Lytechinus pictus: one gene and its partner. The protein of the gene in region 1 interacts with the protein of each later gene in a biochemical or structural test. Links are inferred from orthologs where the notes say so. Each region holds a gene or a part of one and is shown on either strand. Other genes may lie near its edges. The genes, in order: adenine DNA glycosylase-like and exodeoxyribonuclease-like.

What was found.
Region 2: the proteins of adenine DNA glycosylase-like (region 1) and exodeoxyribonuclease-like form a complex in vitro, tested with the Homo sapiens proteins (3 studies listed by BioGRID and IntAct, with this or other methods). The link is inferred for Lytechinus pictus from reciprocal best matches to the Homo sapiens genes MUTYH and APEX1.

Annotation. Positions count from the first base shown.
Region 1 is NC_087255.1:22,397,240-22,406,361, reverse strand, and holds the start of adenine DNA glycosylase-like, read left to right. Parts: upstream 1-5,158; 5' UTR 5,159-5,217; coding exon 5,218-5,347; intron 5,348-5,839; coding exon 5,840-5,952; intron 5,953-6,537; coding exon 6,538-6,648; intron 6,649-7,065; coding exon 7,066-7,107; intron 7,108-7,656; coding exon 7,657-7,842; intron 7,843-8,466; coding exon 8,467-8,564; intron 8,565-9,122. Other genes in the region: target of EGR1 protein 1-like, read right to left, coding at 1-365, 787-970, 1,729-1,988, 3,159-3,456, 4,628-4,776. UniProt on the Homo sapiens protein: Involved in oxidative DNA damage repair. Initiates repair of A*oxoG to C*G by removing the inappropriately paired adenine base from the DNA backbone. Possesses both adenine and 2-OH-A DNA glycosylase activities.
Region 2 is NC_087248.1:18,626,489-18,635,478, forward strand, and holds the start of exodeoxyribonuclease-like, read left to right. Parts: upstream 1-4,971; coding exon 4,972-4,998; intron 4,999-6,498; coding exon 6,499-6,555; intron 6,556-8,990.

The DNA of each region.
Region 1 (9,122 bases):
CCATCTGTTAGAGGGTTCAACTCAGTTGGAGCATCGGAGCCATTTTCCTTGCCAAGATCAGGGTTATCACCATTCACCACTGGGACAGTTTCCTCACCAACTCCTGTACTTGCTTCAGGCGCAGTACTACCTACATCCAGGCTTTCATCTTTCCGCTCCTCCTCTCCCTCACCATCTCCATCTTTCATCCTTTTCTCATCAGTCTCTCCATCCTGGACGTCCATTTCCTGGTTACGATTCTTGCGATTTCTCCTTCTCCTCTTGCGCTTACGCTTTTCTTCGATGATGATCTCTTCGGAATCTAAGATTGCATTAGGATCATGAGACTTTGGACAGTGGATCCCCTTGGCGCAACATCCATGGGCCTAATTAATAAATAAATAAAAACATTATCACATTGGTGAGTGCAACAATGAATAGGAAGGAGAGAAATCAAGCTTTTATAAACACGAAAAATAAAGTTTATAGTTAACTATAAACCATTAAAAGGAGAATAAAGTATATACATCCTGTTATTGTTTCGATGAACAGAAAAAATGAAAATATTTCAAAAAAAGAACAGTTTGATCATATCAAACTAGGGTATAGTCTCAAAGGACACCAAATGGAAAATTCCTTAAATGTTGTACACTCTTTTATCCTACCACATTATTTAATTCGGCCCTCATATTTGGTTGGTAATGTATTTTGTTTTCTCAATCTTGATTCTTTTTCATTGTTGCTGTTTGCTGTAAGGCATAAAAATTTCCTGGAAACAAATACAATTATGATATATTAACCACATACCGCATAGATTTCGCAAACATCAGTAGTCTTGTTTCCAGAATTTCCTTTGTTTTGCCTCTCTTCGAAGTCTGCAGGTAGTAGGTAACTCTGGTATTCCACAGCATTCATATCGGAAGAGTATTGGCAGAAGACTACAGAGGCATGGGAGAGTCCCTTCAGCTTTCTTATGGCATTGTCTCTTTGGCTAAAACGAAGCAAAATAAAGCAATTTAAATGTAGCAACTCCTCACAGGTAAACAAAACATGGTGCCTATAACCACGCCATGAGGATGACAAGTGTTTTTCATGAAATCACATCTTAAAACCTGTCCTACTTTTCTTGTCTCAAGGATAAAGAGAATCACTGGTCACACAAAATGATGGGCCGAATACACAAAAGGTAACAATTACTTTCTGAATGTTTTCAAGCTCTTCGATTGAATCATTACACATAAGAATTAGCAAGTTTGTTGGAAAAATCTTCGTTAGACAAAATAGAGAGCACATATTCCTTTGTGTTCGCACTGCATCAATGTGAATGCTATCGTTGAAACAGCAATCAAATGACAGCTCATGTGCACAAAATGTAAAAGTTAAATTCAAGAAAATTTTCATAAGCATAATAAACATTTGCTTGAGCTCAATCTTTTTGCTTGCTTTAAGGCCAAGGAATGCTCAAGTCCGAGGCCTTGAAAAAATAGGTCTCACGGAAAAGGTTGAACATCAAAGCACTACAACAATCACTGGGGAATGATAATCATGATGGCAAAGATTAACAATCTATTTTTGTCTGGATAAAATCTGTCTAGATACTATTAATAAGATTCAAGATTCAAAATAATTTAATTGTCATAATTTTAAAAAAATGCATAAAATCATCCTCTGTAATGTCATGGTCTGAAATTTCAAGATAGTTTTATCACTTTTATGAAATCAAAGACTAATATGAAAAGCAGTTAATACCTCTTCCTGAAGACGTATTCCAAGTACGATGCAGGCATCCGGGCTTCGTACTCTGCCACATATTTGGTGTCTATGATTCCGCCAGAGTACATCTCGTAAAGATCTGCAACAAACTGGGCACTTGAGGCTGGAAGATCAGTGTAGAGGTTCTGATAGAGAAACACTAGGTCTACTAGACCATTGTGAAGGGTCAGGGGCTTCCTGGAAGCCAAGATGTGGTTGAAAAGAAGCCGGAGAGAAGGCCACGATTTATCCTCCTTCTAGTATTGATATGAAACAGAATAACAAAAAATACAACTTTATAAAATGAAACATAAAAAAACAACCAACTGATAATAATATGAGGCGTCAATTATCTAGTTGCTTATTCAATGGCGGACTATATGTTACCCCGGCTTTAGGTCCAGCTGCTAAAGGTGCTTGGTACATTCAATTAATTAAATTAATCCTACCAGGATTCATCTCATCTCACCTGGTTTGAGTGCAGCACAACATGGCTTAATTTCTTGCTGAAGGAAAACACACCATGGCTAGGATTCAAACCCACGACCCTCTGAATGGCGAGTGCCAGAATCACTAAACCACAACATCTCTACAAAATAATAAGATACCGGTACACAAAACAACCCCCCCCCAAAAAAAAAAAAAATTAGAATATGATACACTGATAACTGATTGAAATTACTCTCCAGGTAAAATCACTCCAACCAATCAAATTCTGAACTATTATATTACTGTAAGAACTAAATTTTGTGGATAACAATTTATTTATCATCTTGGTCATGTTCCATGATCTTCTGCAACAAGTGTCCGCCAATCAAATTGAATGATTTTAGTAGCTTGAAATTGCTATTCCAAATTTATTGTTTTAACAAATTATGTTATATTACTTACATCCGCCACTGTGTTACTATGGTAAAAACAGACTGTCACATATAGCATCCAACAAATCCTATCATGAAACTATACTAATTTTGAAGAAGGTTCAATGAAAAGATCAGCTTGATGAGGAAAGGGCTAATTCTTCACTGCCCCCCTGCCTCCATATGCCTCCACCTCCTCCATCTGGAGGAGCGTTGTGGCCCATTGGATTATTCTCTGGACTAGCTTTGAAACAGAGGGTCGTGGGTTCGATTCCCAGCCATGGCGTAATTTCCTTCGGCAAAATTTATCCACATTGGGCTGCACTTGACCCAGGTGAAGTGAATGGGTACCCGGTAGGATTTATTCCTTGAACGCTTTAGCGCCTATTAATATGGCGGCTTAGTTACAGCCGGGGTAATAATATGATACCAAGTATCAAAGCGCAGTTGAGTATAAGCACATAGTAACTGAGCTATATAAATGGACATATAATATTATCATTATCTCTTATGGAAAAGAATATATATTCAACTTTCTAAAATACTTTTAAAATGTTGATGGCTTACCTTATCAGGTCCCCTGCAGTACGGTACACCACAGGAATACTGCTTATTGAAATCAAATCCATGTCCCACCAAGAACTGCAGAGCCCCTGGCTCTACCATGTAATCCTCATTACACAATGTCAGGATGTTGAAGGTCTGGGCCAGGAATTTCGGACCCGGTCCTGGTCCCGCTGCTGTCTGGTCAGCTGGACCATTTTGGTCCTCCTCATCTTGGATCTTGAAGCAGGATAGCCCTAACGAAAGGATAGACCTGGTCTTGGCAACCTCGGCAATAGACTTGTATCTATCCTCAATGGATCTACAAAAGAAATGAACAAAACCAGACAATGAATTTACAGCAACAGTAGAAGCAAAAACTTGGTATATGCCAATGACTGTATTCAAAGTGATTTAAAATAATATGGGTACTGGGGTCCATTGCAAAAAAAGGCAGGTTAACATTATACTAACTTTGCCATCTAATGGTAACTACCATGGTAGCAATGATTAAAAGCCAATCAGAATCAAGAATTTCATGTAAGTTACCATTGGATGGCAAAGTTACTAAGTTATGTGCAAGAGAGCACAGATATTAAAAAAAAAAGTGAATCCAATTAAAATCTTTTAACAAAAGGGGAATAAAATATAAAAAGCTGAAAGGGAAAAATTCTATAGGGCATGACCACTTGCAGTCTACAACCACCTAGTCTGTTGAGTTTAGCTTAGGTAACAGTATGAAAAATTATATTGTAAAAAAATATATATTAGTCACATTGATCATCTTTCTATCATTAGAACTAGGTTTTTCTTTCTTTCACAAGAGAGCTAAAAAAAGGCCTCAATTTTCAGGATATTCTTATCTCTTCTCTTGTAGACAGATGTGGGAACATATCAGAGGTGAAACCAACAAACCTTTTGTTTTTTAATTAAAATGTAATTCATACAAATTAACTTACTTTTGAGGCAAGGACAACAGGATATATCTGATCAAAATTCATCCAAGGCAATACATCAACAGAAAATAAGCACACACAAAGAAATATCCAAACATCAAACATATTGTCAACTTAATTTCATTCACATGGATTTAATATACTAGGCAAGGTTATGTCACAACCGTGTTTGGATTGAATGAACAGGCCCAATGTTGTGAATAACTTAATTTTTCTTTCACTTCAGGCAAAACTTTTTGTTTTAAGGAATTCAAATCTATAGATTTATTTTGGTTTAATGGTTAAAAAAAACTTGATACCAGCACAAAATTATACTTTTAAAATTGTACATTCCCATTCCATCACAATCTTATTCTTAGATTTATAACAAATGTTAAAACATGAACTCATGAGCACTCCAGGTGATGAGCAAATATCATAAAATAAATTTTATCATTGTTCATTTTTTTCTCGAACCATTTTAGAAAAATGAAGAGGTCGAAATCACATCACAAAACTCAATGCATGGGATCATGCAAAATAATCAAGGATTCATACTTTGCCATTAGATTTCTCCTGCATCCTAGACCACTGAGCTCTGCATCAATAGCAATAAATGAAGCTGTCTGGATCGCTAAATTTATGGCAGGCCAGAAATCTGAAAAATTATCACGATGAACATCGATGATTGGTACATTTAACGACATTTTGTTCCTGGAAGCTGGCCTCAGATAAAGTGAAATCCTCGTCAACGTAACGTTTCTTAACGTTTAACCGATTTGTGACTTTTCTATATGGTCAACGTTAATCGGGTGCAGGGATAGGGTAGACCGTATTCATGCTGAAAAGATGTATCGAGACTACGCAAAAAAAGAAAAGGAAATTCAAATCAATTTAGTCATGATAGATCATAAATTAGATTGATTCATGCATTAATAATACTCTAATTGAATAAAAGAAGGGTCATAATTGTTTAAAAATCTGATATATTATCAATACTTTTAACGCTAAGCCCCTCTAATTGATTGAGTGGAATCATCCGGGATTTTCCCTTTCAACAAGGCGCGCGCCGAATCGAAATGCATTTCATAACAAACTCGTGGGCGAGTCGAGTGTCAAGCTTTGAAAGCTGTGTGCAGTGAGTACGTATGCATGGAATCAGACTTGGGATAAGTATCAGCTCCAGATTTGAAGATCTGAAGAAGCATCAAATATCAGTGATAATTGCCCGATTTATGTCCATGATGAAGAAGGCATCGAAAATCAACAGTATTTCCGGTAGGTAGAAGAGTTAGTCCTAATGTACTTACGTTTACCAAGTTGTGCTGCAAAAGTGCAAGTGCAAAAAAGGCTACATCATCGATGACATCAATCATGATGCTAACTGATACTCATGTAGTGAAGGTAACTAATAGGCTTATCAGTTTTGGACGCTGGACTATCTGATGATCTGTTATATCTCTGTTGGTGTTGACTTGTCTGGGGGAGCTGCTCCCTAAATGTTTTTGACTTCAGCCTGAGTATGCCAGATCTAGCTTGTATTTATTGGGAGAGCGAATTAAAAACAATGATGAGAGAAAGAGGGAGAATGCAGTCTATGTTATTTCCTTTCCAATTCATAAAGTGGAAAAATAACAACAATCGATCAGAGTTATAAATTCAGTTACTAAATTGCTATTCTATCTGTATGAACATGAGTAACTGTAATTAAGGATATTTCATGTATATTGTATTACTTTCTAATGGTAATATCATTCAAATTCTCATCAGATTCACAGGTACGAGGTCCTATTCACAGATTTTCGGAGACTGAAATCGAGTCTTTGCGTAAGAAATTACTGAAGTGGTATGATGCAAACAAGAGGGATTTGCCATGGAGAAACGTAAGTAGGCTTAGATTTGTGTTGGAGACTAGAACAGTAGGAAGACTTCCGTTATGCTATTTTGTTATTGATTTTCACTAATAATAGATGGAAGCTACTAATCATTTCATCGAATCTGCTTTGAGGTAATTTGTGAAAATCGATGACAAGATTAATTTTTCATGAAATGCTTTCCAATATAATCCTCATTAAAAATTAAAGTATATATGGTATTGATAAAAGTGATCTATAAACATATTTTTCAAATATGAATGAATGAATGAAAACTGTCCACATTAGTTATTGATTACCTATGCTGTTATTAGGAGAAAAATATGATTAAAACAATTTTGAGATATGATTAGGACATTTGCTTGGTAAAGTGAAATATCTCAAAACCTTATTTTGCCTTTGGCTGTATAGGTAAATTGAATTTATTGTTGTGAAGCATATATGAGCATCTTATTGTTATTTGAAATTATTTTTACTTGCAAGTATCTATTTTTTTTCAATATTCTCCTTTTTGCCATTAGTCCCATTTTAGTGATATGACTTGTCATATAAATTTGTTATTTTCCTTCATAAATTCCTTTTTATTGTTTGCAGATAAAAGGAGAAGACACTAATCATAACGCATATGCCATCTGGGTTTCTGAGATAATGTGTCAACAGACACAGGTTGCCACGGTGATTGATTATTACAACAAATGGATGAAAGTAAGTACATATAGCAAAATTGTTTAACCCCTTTTGAATATAAACAAATTGTGAAAGACATTGACTTATTGAGTTCTGAACAAGTTGGATTTTTTTTTTAAATTAAATTTTATTGGTCAATTGAATTACATGGAGCTTATTATTTTTCTTGATGATATTAACATTGTGAAAATCAGAGAATAAAATCTAAATAATCACAGTATGAAAACTATCACTAAATATTGGTTTCAAACACATTTTGAATTGATATAGACATTCTTTTAATGTGTTACAACTTTTTCTTTAAACAAGGTTTTTTTTTAAAGATTTTGTTTATCACAAACCTGACATTGCTCCATCGAATGATATAACGATTATGTAAATTAATTTCATTCGATATGATTACAATTTCTGAAATGTCTGTCGCTATCTTTCCAGAAATGGCCAACTCTTGAATCACTGTCAAAGGCATCTATAGAGGTGAGAATTATATTACAAACAGATAAGAAGAATTTGAGTCTAGTTTCATTTCACACATATATGGTGTAGATATTTATGATACATGTATTTGTACTTACTACTATTGATTACAATTATGATTATTTTTGATAAAAATCTTTATGATATGTAGAATAATGGCAAAATTGTCTGTTTCTTGTTCTACTGAATTTGAGCTTTGTTAGGAGCCACTCCAGCAATTTCATTCAAAACTTTTGAATTACTGACAATAATAAGTGACAATCTTATTAAGGGGCTGGAAAGCTGTGTGGAAGCTGATTATATCACTGAAACTGAGTCATGTACTAGGCTCAGATTACATTAAGTAGCATTTTCAAGTTAATGACATTGACTTTTGGAGTCTTAAGAGGCTTTAATGCTATTTTTGTTTTGCTTTGTTTAAAACAATTTTTTTGTCAGTCTTATGTGATACCCCAATCATTTGAAAGGTGATTTGCATTTACAATTTCTTTTTCAAGATACCTTTGGTAATGTCGTCCTTGTTAGATTAATTATAATATCTATTTATAGGAAGTGCGAGAAGTCTGGGCAGGTCTTGGCTATTACTCTAGAGGGCAGCGTCTTTTAGAGGGTGCTCTCAAGGTTAAGAATGAGCTCGATGGTCAGATTCCAGGAACCGCTGAACAACTTCAGAAGAAGCTGCCTGGTGTTGGCCGCTATACAGCAGGAGCAATAGCCTCAATATCCTTCAACGAGGTACTGTTTTTCAGCATCTGCGCATCATCAAATAATTTTTGTAATTTGTTGTAAGGCAATAATCTGTGTCGTTTTTAATCTTGAAAGATTTTGTATTATTATGTCTATTACATTTTGTTCCCAAGTAATACGTTATTAACAGGAAAAGCACATTTTGAAATGCCCATGTTACCCCCTGACATGTAGAATGTTTTTTATTATTTTTATTATTATATTGCCCCCACAAAATCAATCAATATTTACATTATAAAGGTTTCATATTTTCAGCATATAATGATGATGATGATTTCTGATTGCTAAGAAAGCATGAATGCTTGTAAGCAAGCAACCAGAGGACTGATGGCTGAAGGTCCTCTGTGAGGGACCTGGTGATGAGGATAAATAACTGAGGGCACTAGCACACCATGTGGGAATCAAACCTGGGTCACTGGATTGCAATTTCCGTTACTGTACCGACTGAGCTATCATGCTTCCTATCTGCATTATTTTGATGCACTGGGAGGGGATGGGATAGGGTCTACAATGTTATGACCTTCCCCTTCCTCAGTCACATTATCACAGATTTTCTTCACTTATTGCAATGTGAGATATGCTCATATTTTCTTTTATTGTTTTTTTATCAAGGCTACCGGTGTTGTGGATGGCAATGTGATCAGAGTTCTTGCCCGGTTGAGGTTGATAGGTGCCGATTTTACCAGTAAGAATGTCATGGCAGCAATGTGGTAAAGAAACTCTCTATTATATCCCTCCAATGAATATTCATGAATTTTCATTGATTTGTCAGTTTGTTCTCACATGGTACAGGTAGAAGATAATTTGTCAATTTATTGTCCAGGGTAGTACTGCAAATGCATAATGAAATAATGAACATTCTCAGTTCTGCCCCAGAATAAAAAATATTGAAAACTATTCGAATATCTCACCAAGTCTCAGGCACACAGATCAAGGGATTGTCTCTAGTTGGCATCATTCACGATATAGCAGCGCAGACACTGGTCTGCAAGAATTTGAGAATGAGTGATATATGGAAAAGCAAATATCTATCCTTTTTATTTTTATTTAAATAGTTAAAATGCAATACTTTAAATAGAACTATAACATGGAAGAAGAAGCTTATGGATAAAAAACAATCTCCATAGAAAAAAGTGTTTCATTTCAAAGTCATAACGAACAGCTTTTTACATTTATCTAACTGACCAAGGTCTTACTGGTTGTTTCACAAAGATTTGAGTGTGACTTAGAGTCGTATTTGAATTTCAGTTGCATGCAGTATATATAAT
Region 2 (8,990 bases), on another chromosome or scaffold:
TTTTTTTTTCAATCATTTTGTAAAAACCAGGGTGAGATATACACAAGTTTCAATGTTTTTTTTTTTTCATCTGCAAGAGCAGTGCACATTTTAGCCTGCATGCAGCTTGAGCGCCGTGATGGGCGAGTGCGCCAAACATTTTACTATGAAATACACTTTTTTGGGGGAAAAATACAAAATATTTATCTCACACGGTAAAAATACTGATTTTTTTGTCAAAATACTGATTTTGGGGGATAAGAATACTGAAAATGCAAAATACAACTTGGCAGCTCTGAATTCTCATCATCCTTGCCTGACAAAACCAGCAGCAAGCATGGATATGTTTTGACTAGTCTTCAATCAATGGTTGGGCATTAATGTGGTGAGCCTGAAAGTGAGACATTTATTTATACAGGACTGGCATTTCCAGTGATTTTCTCAGAGTTTGATGTTTGCAGATCAATCTACTCCACATGAAGGCTCAAGACCGATTGATTTTTACCAGAGGATACTTAGAACAGGGCTCCACACTAACCCTTTTTTTCCTACAGATCCAACCTGTTCATGTCGGACCAGTAGATGGCAAACTTTTTACTGGTCCGAACCTAAAATTTACTGGTCCCTCAAAGTAAAGAAAAATATAAAAAGAGGCTTGAGTTTATTTTGCTGACTTTAATTGCTTTTATTCCCCCCCCACAACATAATTCATGAGAGCCATTTCTCAATTTTGGAGGGCCATTGTTGAAGATGCCAGAGCCTTTTTATAATTTACAAAAGAGGAGAAAATATCATTTGTATCAGTTTGATACATATTTTACTGGTCATGTCGGAGCTAGTAAATCTGGCTATTTCTGAAAAACAAGTGGCCCGACAGCAATTTTTACTGGTCTGGGACCGTCGGACCGGTGCCAGTGTCGCGCGCTGCTTAGAAAGTGGAATGCAGAGGGTTGACCTCCTTTCATCATCCTTCCCCCATCCCCAATGTACTTCTGTCCCACCCCGCCCCTTTCACCTACATTCAATATAATGTTCCCTTCCTTCTCACTTCCATTCCCTTTATACACTCATAGCCCCACCTGTGTGTACGTCTGTTATAATGAAATTATGGTATAACGATTTATTACATGTTTGCGAAAATGTAAAATGGCAAAATGTATTTACAGCCTTACACAAGAAATCTTTTGATATGAAGTATGAAAATTTCAATAATCATTTGACCTGCTAAGTGGCACCGACGTGCTTTATCCTGCTGAATGCTATATAAATACAAAACATAAATATCTATAAGAAGTATACCATCGGCCAATAAAATCAAATGATTTCAGTAGCTTGAAACTATTAGTGAAAGTTTGTTACTATAACAAGTTTTGTGAAACAGACCCTTGTTGTATCTTACCGAGATGGTAAAACTTTTCTTTAGGAAAGGTGGGCCAAGTTGCAGAAAGAGTTTAAATTAATACATTTACCAAGAATTAAAACAACTTGATTTCCAGCCTATGAGAAGTGTACATTTTGGACTCTCACTTCATTTTACCAAGTTCTGTTTTAAACGCAATTCTATCAGCGATGGGCACCACTTATGGTTATTGCCTCCATTCGAATTTTTTTTTTTTTTTTTTTAAAAGAAAAAAAAAATTAATTGACCTGGGCCCCATTGCATGAAATATTTTAGTAAGGTATTTCTGTGATATGCATTGAAATTATCATGACATTATGTTTATTTAACCAATTAGAATATTAAATTGATTATGCAGTATTTACCATTGTGTGGCAAAGTTGCCATTCGATGCTAATAAGGGTTCAGGTTGAATTTGACGGAATTCTTGCCAAAATATTGGCACCATTTATAGCCAGCATTAAAAGTTTGCATAGTGAGAACGACAAAAAAAAATGGTACGCAGTTGCGTGCGTGAGTTATCTGTATGAAAATGAAAGAGCTAATGAGACACTGTCAAGCACTCTATTTATTTTCAATTTTGTATAGTTGATGATATTGTGATTTAGTCGCAATAAATGACATAAATTGTAATTTTAAATATTCGAGAAGATATTGTTTTTCATCATTGCAAGCAAAATAAGATAATAAATATTGCAATGTTGGGAAACAATATCAACTCAATTAAATAATTTTTATTTTCCACCTTCGATTTGTAATATTTACAATAATGGTACAGTAAACACATAAGAATATAATCACATATATCCGTGTACAATTGAAAATATCAAAGTTTGCAATAAAAACACTGGTTCGATTTTTCTTTTGTTGATCAAATCAATTGTTTGATCAGATGGACTTGGCCTTTGAATGGAAGATGTGCAGCAGGTACTGATCTTACTGTTGAAAGTGATGACTTTTCTCTATGTCGGACTATCCATTTAACATCCCATCGCGAACCTGCCGAGTAGTACGGATTTTCCGTGGTTAGTACTGAAAAATGAGAAGAATACTGAAGGTTTCATGCAAAATACTGATTTCTAAAGTTTCAGTTTTACGTGTTGTCCTATGGTATTTCTTTGAAAATACATGTACTGATTTCTCACCAAAATAAGAATTTTCATCTTTAAAATACTGAAATGTTCTTGTTTAGGTTGGCAGCTCTGCTATTAGAGTGACATTTGGTTAGAGTTCAGCACATGAAAACATAAAACAGGGCTTGTACTCGAACACATTTCATAAGATGTACCATTATGTACATAGCAGTAATTAAATTTTGTCAAATACTTTAGTGCTACTTGAAGGGGCGTTGATCTTGTACATAAAACGATATACTTTGTATATTAAATAAAATGTTTTTTATTGAAACAATACAATTTGAAATGTCCATCTGTTTCTGTATTTCATGAAGCTGAAAATGATGTATGAAATGAGATACTACTTCCCATTGCACCAACATGTACAAACACAATATTGTAAAGTTTAAAGTTTGATATATATATGGAAGTCATAATTGGTATAAAGTGGTCATAACTTTTTCCAAGTGGTATTTGATTTATTTTGCTGAGGCATACAGATAATTTGTTTCAGAGGGAGGGTGCCATTTAATAGTCCTTCATACCCAGTTTTAAAGGGGTACTCCAGGCTATTAAAAATAATATGATTTGAACGGTTCCATGACACTTGCTCCGGCGACAATTGCTCCGCTCTAAATTCCACACTCTAAACGAATTACCAACTTCGACCCTGGGTCTAACACTACCCTGCCCTAAACCTAGTAACCCTAAAGTTAACATAAAACCCTATTGCAACCCTAACCCTATATCTTAGACAAAAATTATGCCCCGAGCAATTGTCGCAGGAGCAAATGTCCTGTCACCATTTGAACAGTTGAAGTAGAAGAAGACAAAGCATTGAAATGTCATCAAAGTCGGACAAGGAATAACAAAGTCATGACAAAGTTTTTGCATTATTTATTATACATGTATGCACATTGAATATGCAATACATGTAAGTACATAAAACTGATGTCAATATCCCCACTTATTCTTGTACTTTATTGTATGAAATTATATATTTTCAAACTTTGTCCACCAAAAATTTTAAAAAGCGGATTGACATCTTATTCAATATGTAAGATAATTATTGCTGCAACTTCTTTTGTTATAACTAAGGTAGATATTTCATACACAGATGTAGGAAATATGGAATAATTAGGATTTTAAGTAATAACATAAGAAAAAGGCAAGTGGGGACATGACATCAGCCCACCTAATGAATATTCATGAAGGCATGCATTTAATTGTTTTCACAAAATATTGGCAACATTTTATTTTTCTTCAAATTTTGATGAAATTTTCAGCATTCTGCTCGGTGAATTCTACTCAATTCAAATAAGTATTTTCAGCCTGAAGTACCCCCATTAAGTGGGTTTATGTTACAAGAGTCCACTACTGAGAATGATATGGATTAGAAGCCTGGCCAATGTTCCGTAACACAATAGCGATTGATCGTACGCTTGATTTTGATGATAGATTATACATTGTGGTATTCTTTTCTCTTTTATGATGATTGACAGGCCACAGGTAGGGGTAGTTGAGGACTTGATTTGACTCCTGTTTCATATTTGCATTAAGGGTCAATTTGACAGAAAATAAAGGAACTTGCTTAAAGTTGTGATATATTTTGTGACAATAAGAGAGAATACATGTACATGAGTGGATACTTATTCAGATCAAGAATGTCCATATTTTGTAGCAACTTGTAGGTTATACTCCAAACGTTGCGCCATTTAGGGGACCTTCTGGCACACAAAACCCCAGAGTTTTGAGAAATGTTAAATGCAAGAAAGCAACCCAGCTCGAGTGGCACGTCCCTATAACCACCCCTCACCCTGGTTATTTGTGAATTGTTTGTAAATAGTGATTTAAACTGATATCAAGTATTCTATGAAGAGTGTGAAAATGATGAACAAAAGGTGGTTTAGACCTGAAAAGATACTTGAGAGGATTTTACATCCTGTTCTTTATCAGGGAATAATTTTGCTTTACAAATTTGAATAGAATTTTTGGTCATAAGAGAAAAGCTCTAAACTAGTAATGTCCAGACCAATGTAAACATACATGTATGCTATACAAAAGAAGCATAGCAGTCTTTCAAAAATGTGGAGCAAATTGCGATGCGATACCAGGAAAATTATTCCCTGTCTATGTTGGGGTGAATAGAAAAGTTTTCTCAAAAGGTGTTGGGACTAAGATGATCTTTAAAGGTTTTCATGGTGGAGAGAATAATGGAAGTTCTTTTGAGGTAAACACCATGCATGTAGTTCTGAAAAAGACTGTTTGTTTATCTCTCTTGGTTGTTTGATAGCTCTTTAAAGAATTGTTATCGTTTCGACCAGCGTGTTCTGGTCGTCATCAGGAATGATGATCCATTTGAATACATGAGTATATGCAGGTTGGTAATGAAGATGGTAATTATAAGGTCGAACCGGGGGGGGGGGGGGGGGCACTCAAATTATTTTTTGATGGGAGTGTGCCTCACAAAACTCTTAAATGGCGTCTAAGGAACTGACTAAAAGGGTAAAGTAAAAGGTCTTGGGAACTAAATATATACCGCCTGGTGTGAAAAACAGGGTCTATGGAACGGGATCACGGCACTGTAGGTACATTGCACCATAGCACTGCAAGCGCTAGCCATGCATGGAGCGGCTAGTAGTTATGTAGAGAGTTGCGAAACCGTACTTGCATCTCTTGCACGCGGTGCTCACTCTTGACAATTTTGGCAGGGCTGGGGAACTGAGATGTCTCGTAACGAGGATCTTGCGAGTGGGGCTGGGCGGCTTCTGAATTGAATCCGGTAATTTCCTTCTTTTTTTTGAGTTTTTTTTTTTAATAGAAGCCCCCATTCTATAAAACATATGATGCACAGCTTATTATCGTGGGTCAGTGGAACTGTGTGCACGCGGTAACTTTGGCATTATGGTCTAAACCCACTCGGATGCGCCTCATGGGTTAAACCATGCCAAAGTTACCTTGTGCACACAGTTCCTACTGACCCACTCTAATCTGTGCATCATTTGTATACTATAAGATATTGGTTCAATCACAGAGAGGCTATAGCCCCTCGCTTCAATTGGTTTCAGAATCCAAAGTCACAAAAGGGCAAAAGAAAGACTGATTTGTGACTTTGGATTCTGAAACCAATTGATGTGAGAGGCTATAGCCTCTCTGTGATTGAAACAATCTCTTAAAGGAGAATGAAACTCTTGGAGCAAGTTAGCTTTTGTGAAAGCAGAAAAATCAAAGAATAAGATCAACAAAAGTTTGAGTAAAATAGGACTAGCAATAGAAGAGTTATGAGCATTTGAATGTCGAGATCACTAATGCTATGGAGATCCTCCCATTGGCAATGCGACCAAGATCTATGATGTCACAGATGAACAACTCTCCCCTTTTGGACACTGAAAATATACCCCAAAACCTCTCTTTTTGCTCATTCTAATCATATGACAAACGATTAATCAATGATATAATGTTGTGAAACCTCTGTACTTGTCCTCTCATAAAGAGAACACCTCACCTTGTGATAGACTATAAAAGTGAGAATATAAGTGAAATAAGTACTAAAGTAATGAGGGAGTTGTACGTGTGTGACATCACAGATCTTGGTCGCATTGCCAATGGGGGGATCTACATGGCATTAGTGATCTCGAAATTCAAATGCTCATAACTTTCTTATTATTCATTCAATCTTCCTCAAACTTTCAACAATATGTTTCTTTGATTTTTCTCTTTGATATGGATTCAGCTGGTTTCAAGGGTTTCATTCTCCTTTAATAATTGACATATGTGCTTATTAAAGCCAGTCTGTGTAAAAATATTGTTCATTTTGACTGAGTAGAATTTGTGCAGTGCCTTTGTACAGTTTTATCAGTTTCTTTTGTAACCCAGTTTATTTTTATCATTTTTAACCTATATATATATCTTTTATTCTATTTTTGTCACATTTACCAAAGCATGATTCCTGCTTTGAGGGATATGACATGCAATGCAATAACAAATTATTATTTTCTTTTTCAGCAAGAATCAAAAGCAAGCAATGACAAAGATGTCGATCAGAAGAAAACCAAAGTAGAGGTATTGTAATTACTTGCTTTTCATTTCATTTTGTGAGAGAAATTTTGATTTTCAAGTGAGAAGCAAAAGAATGTTATCATTCATTGCTTGAACATACAAGAAAAGACATTTGTGCAACATTTTTTGTTTGATAAAATTTGCTCATTTTTGGGCACACTTTTCTAGAAAAGTTGTCTGAAAAAAAAGCCTGCAAATGAGAGGGTAGGAGGAAGCAACATGGTTTTGTACACTTTTTCTTCTGTCATTATTTTTTCAATTTCATACTTTTTCATACTTTTGTTTCTCCAATGGGGGTGGGGCCTGGCCCCTCGACACTGCACACACACAGTGAGCCACTGCAGTTTTTTCGCCCTTTTTTAGCCGTTTTGTGTGTTATAACCTATGGGAAATTCAAAGTTGCAGTTTTTTCGCCGTTTTGAAAACGGCTAGAAAAGGGCGATGAAAGGGAGAATTTTTGGAGAAAAAACGGCTACATTAGGTTTCCTACGTAAACATTGAATTATTATGAAGTGCCATCATTGTCCAATATAAGCGGAGCTATTTATTTCCCCATGAAAACGGCGAGAAAACGGCGAAGGATCCTGTTAGAGGAGTGAAGATACTGAAAGAAAACGGCTAATAAACGGAGAGAAAAGGGCAAGAAAACGGAGACAAAAGGGCGAATGGGTAGTAAGGCGTGCATTGCATAAAACGGAGATAAAAGGGCGAGAAAACGGAGACAAAAGGGCGAATGGGTAGTAAGGCGTGCAGTGCATAAAATGGAGAGAAAAGGGCGAATAAAACAGAAAGGGCGGATGGGTAGTAAGAGGGGAGAGCATGAAACGGAGAAAAAAAGGGTTAGAAAAAAAAGAAAAGGGCAAATGGGTAGTACGACGTGCATTGCATAAAATGGCTAAAAAATTGTGAAAATGTGTGATATGCATTCCATAAAATGGGAAAAAGCGACTATAGAAAGCGTAGAATATATATTTTCAACATTTCTATAAACTTAAGACTTTCTTAAGAACTCCTTTTGGAAATAAGCTCTCGTTTTCATGGGGAATATTTAGTAATAATTCTCATTTCATACAGATAAAAATATTGTTATTTTACCCGGGGTAGCCATTTCAGCTCTTATGAACGTTACTATACTCCCATCGGGCCCTGCGCATAACATACCTGCTTTCTGTGGGGGGGGGGGGGGTTACGCCTTCTTTCATAAATCTAATTTACATATTGTATAGGCCTACATTCATTGTTTTATTTCAATATTTTTTTATATTTCATGTGAAATTTGATAAAATGTCAATCAGAAGAAAATAAAATTTAATTGAATTCGATTGAAACTTCATTGAATACTTTATTCTTTACTCTTATTTTCCCTTCTTCATGGGCGGGAACCCGAGGGGGACGCGTCCCTCACTTTTTGGAAAGGGGGGCATAATATAAAATCCCTGTCTACTATTTGTGGTCTTTTGTGGTAACAAGCCCAAGAAGATAAAGAAAATAATACAGTACAGTATCAGTATATATTGCATACATTTAGCACTTTGCAACATCTTTCCAAAAGAAAAAGATGATGGAAAAAAATCATATTTATGAAGTATCTATTTTCTAAAAATAACAAAATATGGTAAAAATTAGTTAATTATAGATTTTTGTTAATATACCAAACACATGTTTGGTATACGAACCACAAGTGAAAATCATGTCACATGCGAAGAGGGGCGCAATCGGAATCTGATAAGTTTTTTTTTTAGATATAGGCCGATTGATTTCAGCCATTTTTAGATCTTCATATTTTGTAGGTATTTATGATTACTTTATGGTGGAAGTTTGATGAATTTTAAGAAAAGGTTTGATATGATTGAAAAAAAATGAAGATTGTTCGGAATTATACAGTGTATATCACCATACATTACGGCAGTATCAATGTTATTCCAAGTTGTCACAATTGTACACTCACTCGCTTGTGTGGTACATTATTTGCTAATTTGTACTTGTTTAGTCCTATTTATTATTACTTTTGTGCCTTTCGCCATTTATTAGCAGTTTCGAAGGCTTTTTCCCCGAGGGAGGTATCACCCTTATATTAGCCGTTTTACCGTTTCCGCAAGGGAGATATTAGCCCTTTAGCCATTTTGTAGCCGTTTTCCACAAGTGAGGTATTCGCCCTTTATTACCCGTATTGTAGCCGTTTACCACAAGGAAGGTATTCGCCATTTATTAGCCGTTTTGTAGCAGTTTTCCACGAGGGAGGTATTCGCCCTTTATTAGCCGTTTTGTAGCCGTTTTCCACAAGGGAGGTATTCGCCATTTTATTCTGATGAAAATTATTGTTGCGTACAGTTAGCTTTCCATAGTAGGTACACTTTTTTTGTCGCCGTTTTTTAGCCGTTTCCTGTGGGGAAAAAGGGAGAAAAAAGAGCGAAAAAACGGCGAAAAAATGGCGAGTC